2 linked regions of the Arabidopsis thaliana genome follow. The protein of the gene in region 2 interacts with the protein of the main gene of each other region in a pairwise test. Each region holds a gene or a part of one and is shown on either strand. Other genes may lie near its edges.

Region 1 (8,944 bases), on a different chromosome or scaffold from region 2:
CCTTGATACAATGCATTAAATAGTCAAGATGCATGCTAGTTGTTTATTACTTGACGCATCAATGGTTTGAAAAAACCATTTTTGATGATGATAAATTGTGTGACAGTTAATCTCTATGGGCTTTATTACGTTCATTAATCAAGACTCTATCGGAAGCAATCTGAACAACGGACTTATTAATTGTCCATATATAAGAGTTTAGCCTTAGCAACCAAAGAGATCTTCAAATATGTGTTCGACTGATGAATCCATATAAGCTCATAGGTGGCTTCTGATTCTATACTACACCTACGTACTTATACTGGGATGGCTATTTTTTAATTCAAGAAACCAAAGAATTACCAAGGTAGTCACAAAAAATCCAGAAATCGATCTTCTCGAATCATGCATGACCTGAAGCATTGTGTTAGTAGCCTCATATCTAGTATTCTATCCTACACGAACATGAGTAGGAGCTTGAAAAAGTGGCTTAACCTGTGAACTCCATAGATGATATATTGTTGTAGTACGATAGAGAAAACGTCTAATATGCTATTGATATGTCGTTGGTGAATCCAATATATAATTATCTTGTCTTTGCTGAAATGAACATAAGGGTCCATTGGAAACATAACATGATTTATGAGCGAAAAGCAGTGTCTTCTGATAGATCCTGCCTTCAACACATAGATATTTCCTTACACGAACTTGCCACTTATACTCTAAAAAATAAGCATAAGAGACTTAAATCCTTCATGTTGAACTCTCTGCGCAAAACAACAAAAAGAGATTCAAAAGAGTTATTACTAGCTATAGCTACGATATACCAGCAATGTAGAAAAATGATTCATTTCTTTAACGAACAAGGTAGTATCAGCCAAGGACGGCATGAAACCATAAGTACGCACGACATATAACTTATGCAGTCTATAAATAAGATGTGTTGGTAGAAAATTAGAGGTGTATTTAAGGTAGATTCATGCATATCTCGTTTTTCAATTAACCATGCAAGAAAACATTGGTAACATCCATTTCTGTCACTTCCGATCCCATCCATGAATAGCATCAAATCTTAACAACTTTACACTAGTCAGTTTGGAAAATGTTAAAAAACATTAGTGAAACACGTTCAATATATATCTCTCAAATTTTGCTTTGGCAAAAAAAATATCTCTCAAATTTTCAAGTTTAGAGACTTTTATAATGATCAATGTGGTAAGAATAATTACTAGTTTACTTACTATAAAGGTATGTATATAGTGTTTTGTACAATAACCAAAACAAAAGCTAAGTAAATCCATCTGTAGCAAATAGTTGTTTTCTTTGCTTCTGCTTTACTATATAAAAGATTCGCTAAAAGTGTTTATCCAACAAAAAAAAAGATTCGCTAGAAGTGAAAAAACATTCACTCTAGTAAGAAAAGTTTGCTATCAATAGAAACCTATCATTTTTATATTTTACAAAATATGCATATGTTCTAGTTACAGTATCAAAGAAAAAATTATCTCATTTTCTAAATTTATCAAAATTAGCTAATCATATCATATTAGAGGATAATGGGATCTTGGCTCATTTCTTTTCCTCCACACAAGACAAATCTTGCTGCATACCTTAATAATTTAGATTTCCTATATAAATTTATTTAGTTAAGAAAACCTATGTTACCTAGTATACAACTTTAATTTATTTTATTTTGGTCACTGATAGTATACAAGTTCTGGTTAATATTTACAACTGAAAAAGGTTACACCGTTTATATAAAAGAATATATACATCTGTAGCCTAGTGGGAAATCATCTCTAGTAGACTGTTGATAAAGTATTATTGGAAGCATATTTTAAAAGTGAGGAAGAAAATTGAAGGGCCCAAGAAAAATATAATGAATTTTAGTGAATCATAATGTGCTGTCGATTATCCCATCATAATCTATAGAGTGGAGAGATGGCTAAAGCAAGACACAAAGATGTTCATGCACCTTTTGCAGCAAAGTTTAGGTACCTCAAAAGTGTAAATAAAGCATTTTTGAGACAACAAACAAAAACGCAGTTTTGAGAATTTGATGTTGGACTAAGTTTGATCCACTAATTAGTAGTATGAAGAAAATGTAAATATTAGGAATGGATTAAGACATCCATTAGAGATTATGAATTCACATGATAGCACATTATAAGGCTGTTAACAAAAGTATTATAACTAACTATTATTAGCTTTTCTTCTATAGGCCTCACGTTTCTTAATAAAGAGTGTGTTTTATTGAAAGTAGAGCTTCTTGTGTTTTTTTTTTTAATAATAAGCTAATTATATACATAGAGTTACTAATCAAAGTAACATAAAGGTACTTGTAACATGTGAAGCTTTGTTGTGTACTGTTAAAGCTGTTGATGGACCGGTTCTTTTTACCGGTCTTGAAATCCGTGAATTGTTTGAACTCTTACTGGTCGAGAATAATTTTAAACAATTTAACTAAATTTTTTACAACTCCAAAACTGAATTAAAATTAAAAAATTCCACACAAATGAAAATTCGCAACTAATGTACAAAACATAAAGTTGAGAAAAAAAAACACACTTAAAAATCATCATCTCTGGTTTAGACTGACTTTTTAGTTAGTCATAGCGAGCCTAAAATCCTTGAGAGCGGTCCGCTCGTAACCTCTATATGAATCAAGCTTTTAACCAGCCCGGTTTATTAAACCGGAGCAATCCGGTACGGTCAATAATTTGTGTCATTACATTGAACAGCCACCAGTAACCGGTAAAGGCATTGTAGCTTTGATACCATCCAAAATAGTCTTAGAGTTTCCTCCACATTTCATTGTCTGCTCCAAAATATTCACTAGTTGCATGAATATTTCCATCCTCGTCACGTCGCGACTCGCCTACAATCCAATATCGACCCGGTTTCAGTTTAAATAAGATACATTCTAACACAATCTCATCTTTCCAAGTTAAACAACCTTGTGTAACTTATATAATATACCTCAACAGTGAAGCGAGCCCAAATCTTGTCTACTCGAGTTTCGATGACTCCCTTCAAGATCGTTAACCCTAAGCTTCTGATCCAATCTGCGATTTCTAGAAAGAATCCTCGTTGCTCGCATAACATCTGTTACAAAACCAGAAAACGTTCGATCAAAACCGAGATCTTGAGTGTTTTTTATTAAGAACCTTAGGCAGAAATGTTACCTCGACTTGGAAAATGCGAGGCGGGTTTATATCTTCTACGACAATTGGACACACCATAGACTTTGACCCTACTTCGAAAGCCCATGTTGCTCCTCCACCGTCCTCTTTCATAATCTTATAACAATACAACAAACGTTAGATCAAGAATCCATGAGAGACACCAAAATATTATTGTTTTATGTTATACCTTGGATTCCCCGGTTTGCTTCAGCTTATCAGAATGCTTGGAGACATTTTGCAAGAAGAGCATGTGCTTGATTGTACGTTCAAGGAGTGCATCAATGCTACACTGTTAAATAAAAACCACATGTACTCTTTGTTAGTAATAACCTTTCTTAGGGATTGTTTAATTTGCCAAGAACAGATAAGTTTTTCACTTACTTTTGCACCGTTTGGTATTATTTCACGCAGCTCTTTGACACGATCTTGGATCATTTGGCGATCTTTAGGCCTTGGTCTTGGGTTCTCTCCTGGTTTAAGCCTTTTCCGGTTATTAGCCGGTTTTGCAGTTTCATTCTTGTTCACCATCCTTGGACTGCCCTCACGCTTCAAGCTGTGCGCTTGTTCAACCCAAGAACTTATCTGAGACCCGTAGACCGATGATGGCCCCAATGGTTGCCCATGTTTCTTCTCAAATAACTGGCTACCTTGAGGGCTACTGTGAGACGGCGTGGTAACCGAAGAATTACTAACTTTAGTCAAGGTGGTTTTGCAGGACTCGGAAGTTTCGTCTGAGATCTGCTTTGTGGAGGAGCAAGCACCCGAGACCACGGCATCTAACAGATGATCTGTTCCTGAAAGTTCATACCCCGAAGAACCGAACTCAGGGTCCATTTCTTGAATGATCCGAAAGTCGGATAACTCTCTAGTGAGTACTTCTGTTCTCATCTGTGAAACTCCCCAACTGTTGTCACAACCTTTGTTCTTATCATCCAAACCCAACATATCAAACAAGTCGTCGCTTCCAAGCGAGCGTTTCGAACTGATGTCTTCACATGGGATTTGTTGCTGCTCTGCTGCATCCACATTAGACATACAAGAGAAGTTTTGATTCAGCCACGCATCTGGATTTGAAGGTACTGCAACTTCTCCAGCTGTTAGAAATCCTGTTGTGCTTTGCCATCCTCCTTCATGTTCATCCACAAGATTACAGGGAGATTCTTCAACCATTTGATGATCTGATGATCCAGTGGAGTTGAAATGTTGTTTGCTAGTTTCAGCTACGAAAGCCGAAGATTGGAGGATCTTATGTCCTTGAGAAGGTATTATCCGAGACACTGGCACTCCAATAAAATCAGCAGCAGGTTCATATGTTCTGTAGTTTTCAGATAAGAGAGCCCCCGGAACACATCCGAGCTGCAGGATAAGACCCTTCACGTCATTCACAAACCCCAAGTTCTCCATAATCTGAACACACAAAAAACAATTCACAGTTAAATCAAGAACAAGAATCTCACTTCACATAACAATGTAACTTGAACTTACAGGCAGAGAGGAACCGAGCTGAACAACACCGTGAGGAACAACCGGAAAAACTGCAACAGTCTGAAGAACAAACAAAATAAGCACACACAAACAGTTCTTATGAGCTTGAACATATATATACACTAAAGAAGCCTAACTTAGGATGTTCAAAACATGAAGAAAGTATCAAACCTGAATACCAGCAGAGAATTGGAGAAGCATCTCATTAATAACCTCGGGTGGATGAACATCGCGGTTAAAACTGTTAGCTAGAATCCATTGATGATGTCCAGTAAATGCAGCTCGGCCAACTAGACCTTCACCTACCAAAATGATTCGATTGTTCAACATCATTCGGTTTGTAAGCAACTGAACTTTCTCATTCCCTTGTGTATCAACACCAAGTCCACAAAGTCTTCTAGGATTCGAGCTCGATTCGGTTTCATTGTAACATTCCTCCCAAATCAACAAGCTGCACAAAAACAAGTAAAAAAAACACATCAAAAAAAAAAAATTAGAATACACATGACAAAAATATGCAACAATCGTTTAAGTTAGAATACCACAAAAAGACGATTACAAAAGATTTTGGGCTAAACAAAGACAAAACGAACAAAGACAAGAAATAAAAATTGAAATGACAAGAGAGTTAAAGAACTTGAACTCTTTAGACAATTCATAAACAAATAATAAGGATATAGTTATTGTCGACAAAACAACTACAAATCGAAAGATTCTTTAAGACAAACAAGATCAAACCAAACACAAAACTCCAAGAATTAAACAGAGATAAATAATTCTAGTCATCCTCGAGATCTGAGTTTTAAACCCTTATCAAAAAATTCTCAAACTTTAAACTAACAAACACTGAATATATTTGACTGAATAAAGTTTGACACTTTATTAGAATTAGGAGAATAAGAGTGGTACCTAGAATTTTGACAGCCAATTTTCCAGAAAACAGCATAAGACCATTGATTATTAACACACATAGACCTTAAAGCTTCTCTTAGTAAAACTCCCATAGCTTTTCTCTTTCTCTTCTCTCTTCTTTAAGCTCCAACAAGAACAAACTTTTTCACTTGCAACAGTGCAATTTCAAACTGCCCAGAAGAAAAAAATCGAAACTTTAGGTCTAAAAACAAAACTTTTTAACAAATCTACAACAATCAATAAAAACCCATTATTACATTCTTTAAGAGGAAAATGGATTTGAACAAAGACTAACTTCCACGGCAAGATCCTCTTCCAGCTTGTTTTGTCCTAAGTCCTCCACTTTGTTTTCTTTCAGGATCTAAACTAAAAGCGATCATACTCCGACATGCCATTACTTCCGGTAATAAGGAAGAGAAAAAAAAACTCAAAACCCCAGAAAAGAAAAATACAAGAAACTAGTTAATCTTCTTCACAAGATGCTCCAAGCTTCAAGCTTTAAGATTCCAGTAACACCAGCCATTGATAAAACTTGAAGAAAATTAGAAGAAGATGGAGAAGAAAGCAAATGGAGATTATTTGTCTTTGTTTTTTCTCTGCTTTAATGTTTCTTTTCTCTGCTTCTTGGTGAAAAAAAGATTGAAAAATGAGGAAAAAGTACCATCTTATTAAAAACAAAGAACACGATGAATTCGAGAAAGGGTATCAATGTTTAGTAGAAATTACAGGATTGTGCCACTGAGTGGGGTAGTCGAAGTCTTTTGTCTTTTTCCGATGGTGCTAGACGAATAATTTATTGTTTTTTTCGTGAGGTAATATCCTAAAAGTTTGTTTTTAGATAAAAACAAAAGAGATAAAGAAAAAAAGTGTACCCTCGGAGATAAATTAAAAGACGTTCCTAAATATAATTATTAAAAATATATATGTATATATATATATTAAAATATTTAATAACGGCATAAGTCTAGAAGTTAGAGGATTTGTAGGATTATGGATTGTCAATAAATAAAAGAGATTTTCATTTTCTGGTATTGCTTCCCGTACACACAAATAATAAATACACATAAGTTCAAGGTGTTTAATATTGAGCTTATATTTAAAATAGGCATTTTAAATAAAGTTATTTCAAAATAGGTATTTTCCACAGTTGAATACAACAGTGTCGATTTATTGCTTCAATCGGGACAATTTTGTCCCTGTCTTTTTTTCCTTCTCTTCTTCTTCATCGTCTTCTTTCTTCTTCTTCTTTATCGAACATAGTTGCAAAATCTGATTAAATCGATTTCTTCTTTGTTTTTCAAGCAAACTTAATTTTTCTTTTTAATTACACAATACTAAACCCTAAGATAATATATAGGGAACCCAATCGAAAAAATTTATAGATTTTATGGAACTTTAGTTCTGATTTTGTGGAATTTCGGTTCTGATTTTAGAGAATTTCAGTTCTGTCCACATGACTACGATAGGCTGTGTCCATGGCGGAAATAAAGAAGCTTTCTTTGTTGCGACTTAACCTTCGTAAGCAAAGTTGGAATCTTTTCCCACCCAGAGTCTTCCTATACCAAGAATAAATCGGTTCACAAATAACAATGAGTTGAAACCGGTTTTTGAATATCGTCTCACCTGTCTTTTTCAAATTACCAGTAATCACCACAAGTCCATTCTTGAAATGATGAAACCGGTTTAAATCCCTCACAATGATCTCTCTCTCAGTGATTTTCCATATAAAAACTTGGATTCTTGAAAATCCGAGTTGTTGTCTTTGCAGGAGTGGCGATTTAGAAGATGATGCATATATCGCCATTGTTTCAATTGAATATAGGGAACACACACGATTTATTGCTTCAATTGGTGATGCAAATATCGAATATAGGAAACAGACACGACTTATTGCTTCAATTGGGTAAAAGATAATGCAAATGAGAGGAGGATAAGGATGACTTTTCACAAGAGAAAAGTACCTCTTTCGAAAATCATGTAAGGAAATACCTTAAAATAAATATATAACCAAGACAAATGCCTATTTTCTAATAAACTCTTTAATATTTAGATTATTTTATTATTTATCATGTTAAATTAAATTCTGAAAAACTCATTAACACTTTAATTTAACATCAAGCAATTCGTAATTACTAATTTAAAGATTTAACTTAGTTATATACTGATATTTTAGTGGGTGCAAAAAGGTCCAAACCATATTATTTTTTAATAGATTATTAACTACTTTTACTATGTACTAAGTTTTTTTTTCCCCATAAAAACGATCTATAATTACTATGATATTTTTAACAGAAAAACTATGAACATTATACTGAATCACTAAAAGAACATCGTAATACTTTGACCACAATAAAATAAAATAAAGATATAATTTGAGCATTGGGAGGTTTTTAGAAGGCACCACACCGAATGATTTCAAGTAATCTTGACAGTTTTTTTAAATGTAACTGCCAGTATGTTACAAAAGGATAATGAAAGTTCTGCGGGAAGATGGACCGTAGATAGCCTCTTATTGTATGGTTTGTACAATTTACAAGTTTAAAAAGAAAAATCCGACTGAGTGAGATTTTGTAGTGAAAAACATATTATTTGTGTTCATGATCCACGAAACTAACAAAAATACAAAATAGTTCACATGTCATCAATCACGAACGATCAATTTATCGGTTGTCGACCAATATATCAGTCCACAAAATCACTGTTTTTCTTAATTGATACTGATTTTAAAATTTAATCAGCATAGTTATTACCATTAAATAAATAAAAAATACTGATAGCAGAATTTTATGTAAAGTTCTGATAAATCATATTTATGAATATTGGTGGTATATAGCACATAACCATTGGTAGAGACATTTCATGTGATGCCATTCTCGTCCATGGTCAAATAAAGACAAATAAACAAACACTCAAAGTTTTGTAACGTTGATTTTTTTTTTCTTAATGTGTAACGTTGATACCATGTGAGAACACACATAACATTTATTGAAAATTTGTTTCGTCTATGTTTCTTGTGGAAAAAACATTTGCTATATACCAAATGAATATAGACACATCCCTAGTAACTTAGATGGTACATAAACTATAGGTGGTAATAAAGTAAATATTTGTGGTAGGCTGCAACTTTCGAGTGAAAACATAATATAAAAAAATGAATTTTTGTTTTTTGTTTGTCAAAAAACTGATTTTCATTTGTTATTAACAAGAAAAGGTAGATGAGAAATTGGGAGAAAGAAAAAAAAAGAGATGTTTTAATGCTTAGATGTCTCATAAACCATCGAGGTGGAATTAGTAGTTGTTGCTGTCTTGATGACGTCACCGGTGACAATTTGCCATTCACTCTCTGAATTTTCACAGAAGTGGCAGTGCCTTTTTTACTATCA
Region 2 (7,094 bases):
AGATAATGAATCAAGATCCACAATGTACAGATTAGCTACTTGTTTACCCATTCCAACCATTAATTCCCGTGTAGCATCCTGAAGAACACAGGAAGTTTCATCAAACCAGATTCTACACCCCATACTCTTAGTTAAAGAACTGACACTAAGAAGATTGAATTTGAACTGGGGAATGAAAAGAACATCATTAAGGATGAGATGTCTACCCAAGTGAACTGAACCTATACCAACAATGCTCACACGAATTCCATTAGGCAAGGAAACAGTAGTATCATGAAGATATTTAAAGGAAGAAAAAAAATGTTTATCATGGCAAATATGATTGGTTGCTCCTGTATCTATGACCCAAGAATGAATAGCAGTGACATTGCTATCTAAAGAACAGACATAAGGCCTAGCAATTCCGGCAAAAGAACAAAGGATAGAGGGAAAAAGGTTACCGGAAATTGGGCACACTGTGGAAGAAGAAGAAGGATCGGAAGATACTGAGATAGAGTGTACTTCAGGTTGAACGGGAGTACTAGGAGGCTGAAGTTTGGAACTCAGAAAGGACACAAGTTGTTGAATTTGAGAAGTCGTCAAATCACCAGTCGAAACACTTGTGTTGTTAACAACCTCTTCTGAACCAATAGCAGCATTAGCCGAGATAGAAGGCTTCACAAATTTCTGCTTAGACTTGAAAGAAGTTGGATAACCATGTTTCTTGTAACAAGTGTCTTCAACATGACCAGGTCGACTACAGTAAGAACAAACTGGCCTCTCCTTTTTCTGATAAGTATCTCCATTAAGAGCAGACTGTGAAGACTGATTAGAGACAGGAAACACTGATGAAGTCATTCCTGGAGTAGTAGAAATCCTTGCAGAACGTTGAGTTTCATCTTGATCAATCATGTTGAAAACCTCAGACAAAGATGGCAAAGTTTTCTTCATGAGAATCTGACTCCTAACAGTATCATAACAATCATTGAGTCCCATAAGAAAATCAATGACTCTATTAGTCTCTCTTTCAATCAGAAGATCTTCTACAGTCCGTGGAACAGCCTGAAGACTCGTCAATTCTTCCCAAAGAGTTTGAGTACGAGTATGATACGATGACAAATCCAGATTGCCTTGACGAAGAGAGTGAATCTGTTGACGCAGCTTGTAAAGTCGAGGGAGGCTAGATTTGTGAAATCGAGTATAGAGATCTTTCCAGATTGCAGCGGCTGTGGGAAAATACAAGATGCTTGTATAGATCTCCTTTGATACACTATTCAGAAGCCAAGACTTAACCATACTGTTACAACGACGCCAGATTTTGCAATAAGGATCATCATCATCAGGTTTTGGAATAGATCCATCCACAAATCCAAGCTTATTCTTAGCTTCAATGCTAGTAGTCATAGCTATAATCCAGGTTCCATAGTTGTTTCCATCTAACAGTTCTGGAGCTAGGACTAAACCAGGATGATCGGAGCTAACAAGATGATAAGGACTATGACTATTATCAGGAGAATCCGATACCTCAAAGTGACGCGATGAGCTATATTGAGCTGGTTGATGAATCGCAGCATGAATCGAGGATCCTGGAGCTCTCGCTGATGAACCAGAAGACTGCTCATGAATCTTCGGTGAAGCAATGACAGGAAGATCCGGTGAACTACTCCGACGAACACTCTTTCCATTTCGTTTACCTATGGAGAATCGAAACAGCTAACCAAAGAGACTGAATCGCAAAGGAGACGAAAGGAAAACGTGTAGAAGAGAGAAGAAGAACAATGAGAAGATGAACAAACTCCGGTGAGATTCCGGTGAGATTCCGGTGAGATCTAATCGGAGAAGTTTGTTACGGGACTGAGATCGAGATATTTTGCTCTGATACCATATTAGTAAAACAATCTCATTCTCATTAATTAGCAAAAGAGTACAATTGGGGGTTTATATACAAACTGACATTGGCCTAAACCATAAGCCTCTAAACCAAAATTAAGATTGGTTTATAAAATACCAACCTTTACAGACTCTATATGAAATCTATACTAACCAAACTAAGTTTATATACAACAATCTAAGTTATATACATTAATAAATACAAACCTTCACCTAAGAAAATATCTTTAACCCGACATAAATTTGTTACTACGGACATGTTTTTGTTTAATTGGAGAAAGATATATGATTGTGTATGGTGTCTATTGATTGATTGTCACAGAAGTATAGGCATTTTCTGTTATTGGCAAACTAAGAAAGAAAAGACATTTTCCACTAGTTATGTAATGCATCTTCGAAATACCCAACGGACCAAACCTGCTCATCCTTTCCGTTTTTGATATTATATAACAATATTTTATATCTTTTAATCGCTAAAAACGAATATTATATAAATGTATTGGATGTCCAAAAAAAAAAATGTGAATGGAGGCTTTCATATGCTATATCACTATCAACCAATCACAGAACATCTTTGACAGAAGGTTACCTATGCACGTACACTACACATACGATGCTCTTTGTTTATATCTTTGCTTATAGTTTATCGATGCTAACCACTGTAAGAATTAAGTAAAGTTAATGCCAATTTAACATTAAGTTAAAATTACTGTAAAAAGTAAATTAGATAGGCTGCCTTTTAAAAAAATTGTTGAATTATAACCATATTTGCTTTTCAAACATGCATGTCCCAAGTAACAGAACAAACAAAAAAAAGAAGAAGTTTGGCGTAATGCTCCTATACCATGGGTTAGTGCTCTCAAGCGGGTCATGTGTACACCAACAATATCAATTTTTGGGTGTTTGCTTTTAACTGAAAAAGTAAACGCATCGAATCTTTATTATGATTTCGATGAATAATGATAAAATTTGGGACAATTTCAATTCAAGTGAGGAAAACGTGTCTGTGCCTTCTTGGTAAATCTAACACTGAAATTTGACACGCAGTTGCTTCTATAGTCAGTAATTCCAATAAAGCATCTAAAATTGCATTTGAATATTTAATCATAGTCGTCCCTATCAATAATTGTCACCAACAAAGATAAAGGGTAAATAAGAAACATATAATGAAAATTGAATGGTCGTAGTTTTATATGTTAGTTGGAACCAAAGATTCTTCAATCTATCATCCACTCAGAGCTACGTGGACAGTCGATATTTTGGGTTATATAAAAAAAAACAAAATTGTACTATAAGACAAAAGAAAACAGTATTAAAAAAAAAAAAATCAATAACAAGATTATATCTTATCCCAATGAACAAAATGAAAATTTAGTTATTTTGAATAATGTTACAGGTTTTAATTAAATTATACTATATCACAAACAGCAAGAGTCAGATACATCGAACGGTCCAGCTTTCCTCCTTTATTTTTTTCTGGCTATCGTTTTGATGCAAAGTTGTTTCGTTAATCGTGAAAATTAAAAAGCTACAGCAATCTTCTCCGAAACTTCATACACTCGCCGACAAGAGAAACTTCATCCACTCGGATTTCTCGTAACTTGCAGCACTAAACATTTCATGAAACTATTCACAAAAGTCCACGAACCTTGCAATTGGCCACAAAATTTAAAATACTTATATACGTAACGACAACCTATCCATATTTTTCTTTCTAACGATCCAAAACTGGCCACGCTTCGACTCCATGGTGATATTAACTAGGGAAGTGGCTAATGGCAAACAAGTGCTTAGAAGTGGTAAATTCAAATAATAACCGTCGATTATTTCTTTCTAACCGTTATTGAGGTTACCAATTAAAAAAAGTGATCACAAACTAGGTCAATGAAAAGGGAGATTTTTTGTTTTCTTTGGGCCAATGAAAATAGAAACTAAGATGGACAAAAGAAAATATTATAATTGGACAAAACAGAGTCATTTGAGATTTAAAACAGAGAAGTAATAAAGGTCAAATGTTTTTGTGGTGAGCTCTCAAAAACAGACATAAAAAAAAGAAGCAGAATCATTCCCATTTATAACAAACCTAAACCTCTCTTTTCTTCTTCTCTTTACCTTTTTCATTCCAAAATCTCTCTCTCTCTCTCTCTCTTTCTCTGGCTCGGGAAGAAGATGTCACGTAGTTGCTCACAGTGTGGAAACAACGGCCACAACTCTCGCACATGTCCGACGGACATAACTACCACCGGTGACAACAACGACAAAGGCGGCGGGGAGAAAGCCATCATGCTTTTTGGCGTCCGCGTCACGGAAGCTTCATCATCTTGTTTTAGAAAAAGTGTTAGTATGAACAATCTCTCTCAATTCGATCAAACTCCTGATCCCAACCCAACCGATGACGGTGGTTACGCTTCAGACGACGTCGTTCACGCCTCCGGTAGAAACCGTGAACGCAAACGAGGTTAATAAAATAACCTTTCTTCTCTCTTTCCCAAATCTCATCTCTGTTTTTGTTTCTTGTTTTTGAAACTTTCTTGCAAATTTGGAATTTAGGAACTCCATGGACAGAGGAAGAACATAGATTGTTTCTTACTGGATTGCATAAAGTTGGAAAAGGTGATTGGAGAGGAATCTCTAGAAACTTTGTTAAAACTCGAACACCTACTCAGGTAGCGAGTCATGCTCAGAAATATTTTCTCCGGCGGACTAATCAGAATCGTCGTCGTCGTAGATCAAGCCTCTTCGATATCACTCCCGATTCGGTAACGTTTCATTCTTTAAAATCTATAATTAAAATCAAGAATCTGTAAGATTATACTAACACATAAGGTTCGATATGTCAACAGTTTATAGGATCATCAAAAGAAGAGAATCAGTTACAGACTCCATTGGAGCTAATCCGTCCAGTTCCGATTCCTATTCCGATTCCACCGTCGCGGAAGATGGCTGATTTGAATCTTAACAAGAAAAAAACTCCAGCGACAACGGAGATGTTTCCGCTGTCGCTGAATTTGCAGAGGCCGTCTTCGTCGACATCGTCATCGTCCAATGAACAGAAGGCACGTGGCTCACGTGCCTCCTCGGGGTTCGAGGCGATGTCGAGTAATGGAGATAGTATAATGGGAGTGGCTTGATGAAGAAGATAATGTTTTAATTAATTTATATTGTATAAGATAAGATCTGGATGATGATTAATTTGAAATTTGAGAATTAGGCTAATTAGATACTTTGATCAGAATCAAGTGAGTTTTTAAGTTTGAATTAGTGTGTACATGTTTTTTTGCTCTTTTTGGGGGAAACGACTTGTCGTTTTTGTTGTTGTATGATGTAAAACAACAGGTAGTCTCTGTGTTGTTTTGGTCAAGACTTGATCAGATTCAGAAGTGAAGACGACTTCAAGCTTAAGATAGTTTAGATGTGTCTTTTGAAAAGTTTAAACAGAATGGTTATTGGGTTAAGGTTAAGTGTATCTCATATGCTTTTTCTATCTTTTTTTTTGGTAAGACTTTTCCAGTAATTTGCCGTTTTCTTCGGGGTGTGTGTTGTTGATAATGTCACATTCATGAACCAAACACAGTTATATTACTTTAGTAACAGTTTTTTTTTGTTTTTTTGTTTGTCGTTTGACGTCATTTTGTTTTATTTATGTTATTACATACATGGATATAATTTATGAAACTGCCAAGAAAACAAAGAATATAATTTGTTGAATTGTTATTGGCCTACCAACTATATCAGCAAGATTCGAATCTATACTTTGTTAAAATGTCTCAATGTAGGACTGGACTGGAGATAAATATAAAGTAATATATAGGGTAAAGTTTCTAAGTCTTGTATAGCATGATTTTTATTAGGGAATAGAATTCTAATTTCATGATGTAATTCAAACAACTGAAATGGAAAATTGTTTAAAACTAGCTAAACTTGTACAGTTGTACTATTTAGAGCCCAAAGTGATAACTGTTTTATGGCTTTTATCCATGCAAAAGAAAAACATCAAAATAAAGTGATGTCCATCACATACATCTTAAATAAAGTAATAATGGGCCTAGCTAAGGTATAGCCCATGGGCTTATTCGCTGATCTAACCAAAGTGTCGCTAATTTTCTTCCTTGTTTTTTTAACGCAAATTTTCTTCCATGTCAATTATGTCTTTTTAATCAAAAATTCCTCCACACCAAAAAAGAACGTAAAAACTAAAAATAGAACAAATTCAACTACACTCAGATAATCGAATTGCTATGTCCAATATCCAAAACATTTCAAGCCATTTAGTGCTCTCACTAAACATATTTTAACAAAATATGAAATAACATTCCCAAAATTGCGATCAAAAGGCTAGAAACATCTTCAACAATTATGACAGTCCTAAACCAACAGTTCAAACACGTTTTATATCTGTTTGGCCAAATTAAACGAATATAACATAAAAATACGATTGATCTTAGACAATTACTAAAGTTTCTAAATAATAATCTATACTTTCACAAAACAAGAAATACAAATTGATTCTTGCGCAGAAAGTGCTTTGGTACCTACTTTTTTTACCACCTTTCCTTTTCAATTGAGACATCAACACATTCACTAAAACAAACTCTCAAACTGCTCTAAACGACACCGTTTAGTTACAGATAACTTTACTTGTATTTAAAGTCACCAAAAGTTTGAATTTTTATTTGTGCCTTCCACAAAGCTTTAAGCTTAAACACAGTCAATGGCCGTCCTTCCGCCATAAAAGGACAAAAAAAAAGCTTCCCTCTTTTCACAAAACCCTAAAGAAACAAAAAAAAAACCATCATGAAAACGATCTCAATCTTCTTCGTCATCATCTTAATGTCATCTTCTCACGCAGAAGACGATGTACTCTGTCTCAAAGGCTTTAAATCATCACTCAAAGATCCTTCAAATCAACTCAACACATGGTCTTTCCCTAATTCATCATCGTCGATTTGCAAACTCACCGGAGTTTCTTGCTGGAACGCTAAAGAGAATCGAATTCTCTCTCTTCAGCTTCAATCAATGCAACTCTCTGGTCAAATCCCTGAATCTCTTAAACTATGTCGGAGTTTACAATCTTTAGATCTTTCCTTTAATGATTTCTCCGGTTTGATTCCTTCACAAATATGTTCTTGGCTTCCTTATCTTGTTACTTTAGATCTTTCCGGTAACAAACTCTCCGGTTCGATACCGTCTCAGATCGTTGACTGTAAATTCTTAAACAGCTTAGC

The links. Proteins that work in one complex are often made in the same cells at the same time.
Region 1: the proteins of AT1G70000 (region 2) and LHW interact in a two-hybrid assay, tested with the Arabidopsis thaliana proteins (one large-scale study listed by BioGRID).

The regions. Positions count from the first base shown.
Region 1 is NC_003071.7:11,647,604-11,656,547, reverse strand, and holds LHW (transcription factor-like protein), read right to left. Parts: upstream 6,190-8,944; 5' UTR 5,819-6,189; intron 5,732-5,818; 5' UTR 5,654-5,731; coding exon 5,559-5,653; intron 5,101-5,558; coding exon 4,821-5,100; intron 4,710-4,820; coding exon 4,650-4,709; intron 4,572-4,649; coding exon 3,546-4,571; intron 3,454-3,545; coding exon 3,352-3,453; intron 3,279-3,351; coding exon 3,165-3,278; intron 3,085-3,164; coding exon 2,959-3,084; intron 2,858-2,958; coding exon 2,708-2,857; 3' UTR 2,405-2,707; downstream 1-2,404. Other genes in the region: AT2G27229 (Pentatricopeptide repeat (PPR) superfamily protein), read right to left, coding at 6,991-7,365. UniProt on the Arabidopsis thaliana protein: Transcription activator that regulates root development; promotes the production of stele cells in roots. Coordinately controls the number of all vascular cell types by regulating the size of the pool of cells from which they arise.
Region 2 is NC_003070.9:26,361,580-26,368,673, reverse strand, and holds AT1G70000 (myb-like transcription factor family protein), read left to right. Parts: upstream 1-3,795; 5' UTR 3,796-4,038; coding exon 4,039-4,327; intron 4,328-4,419; coding exon 4,420-4,628; intron 4,629-4,712; coding exon 4,713-5,000; 3' UTR 5,001-5,695; downstream 5,696-7,094. Other genes in the region: AT1G69990 (Leucine-rich repeat protein kinase family protein), read left to right, coding at 6,664-7,094.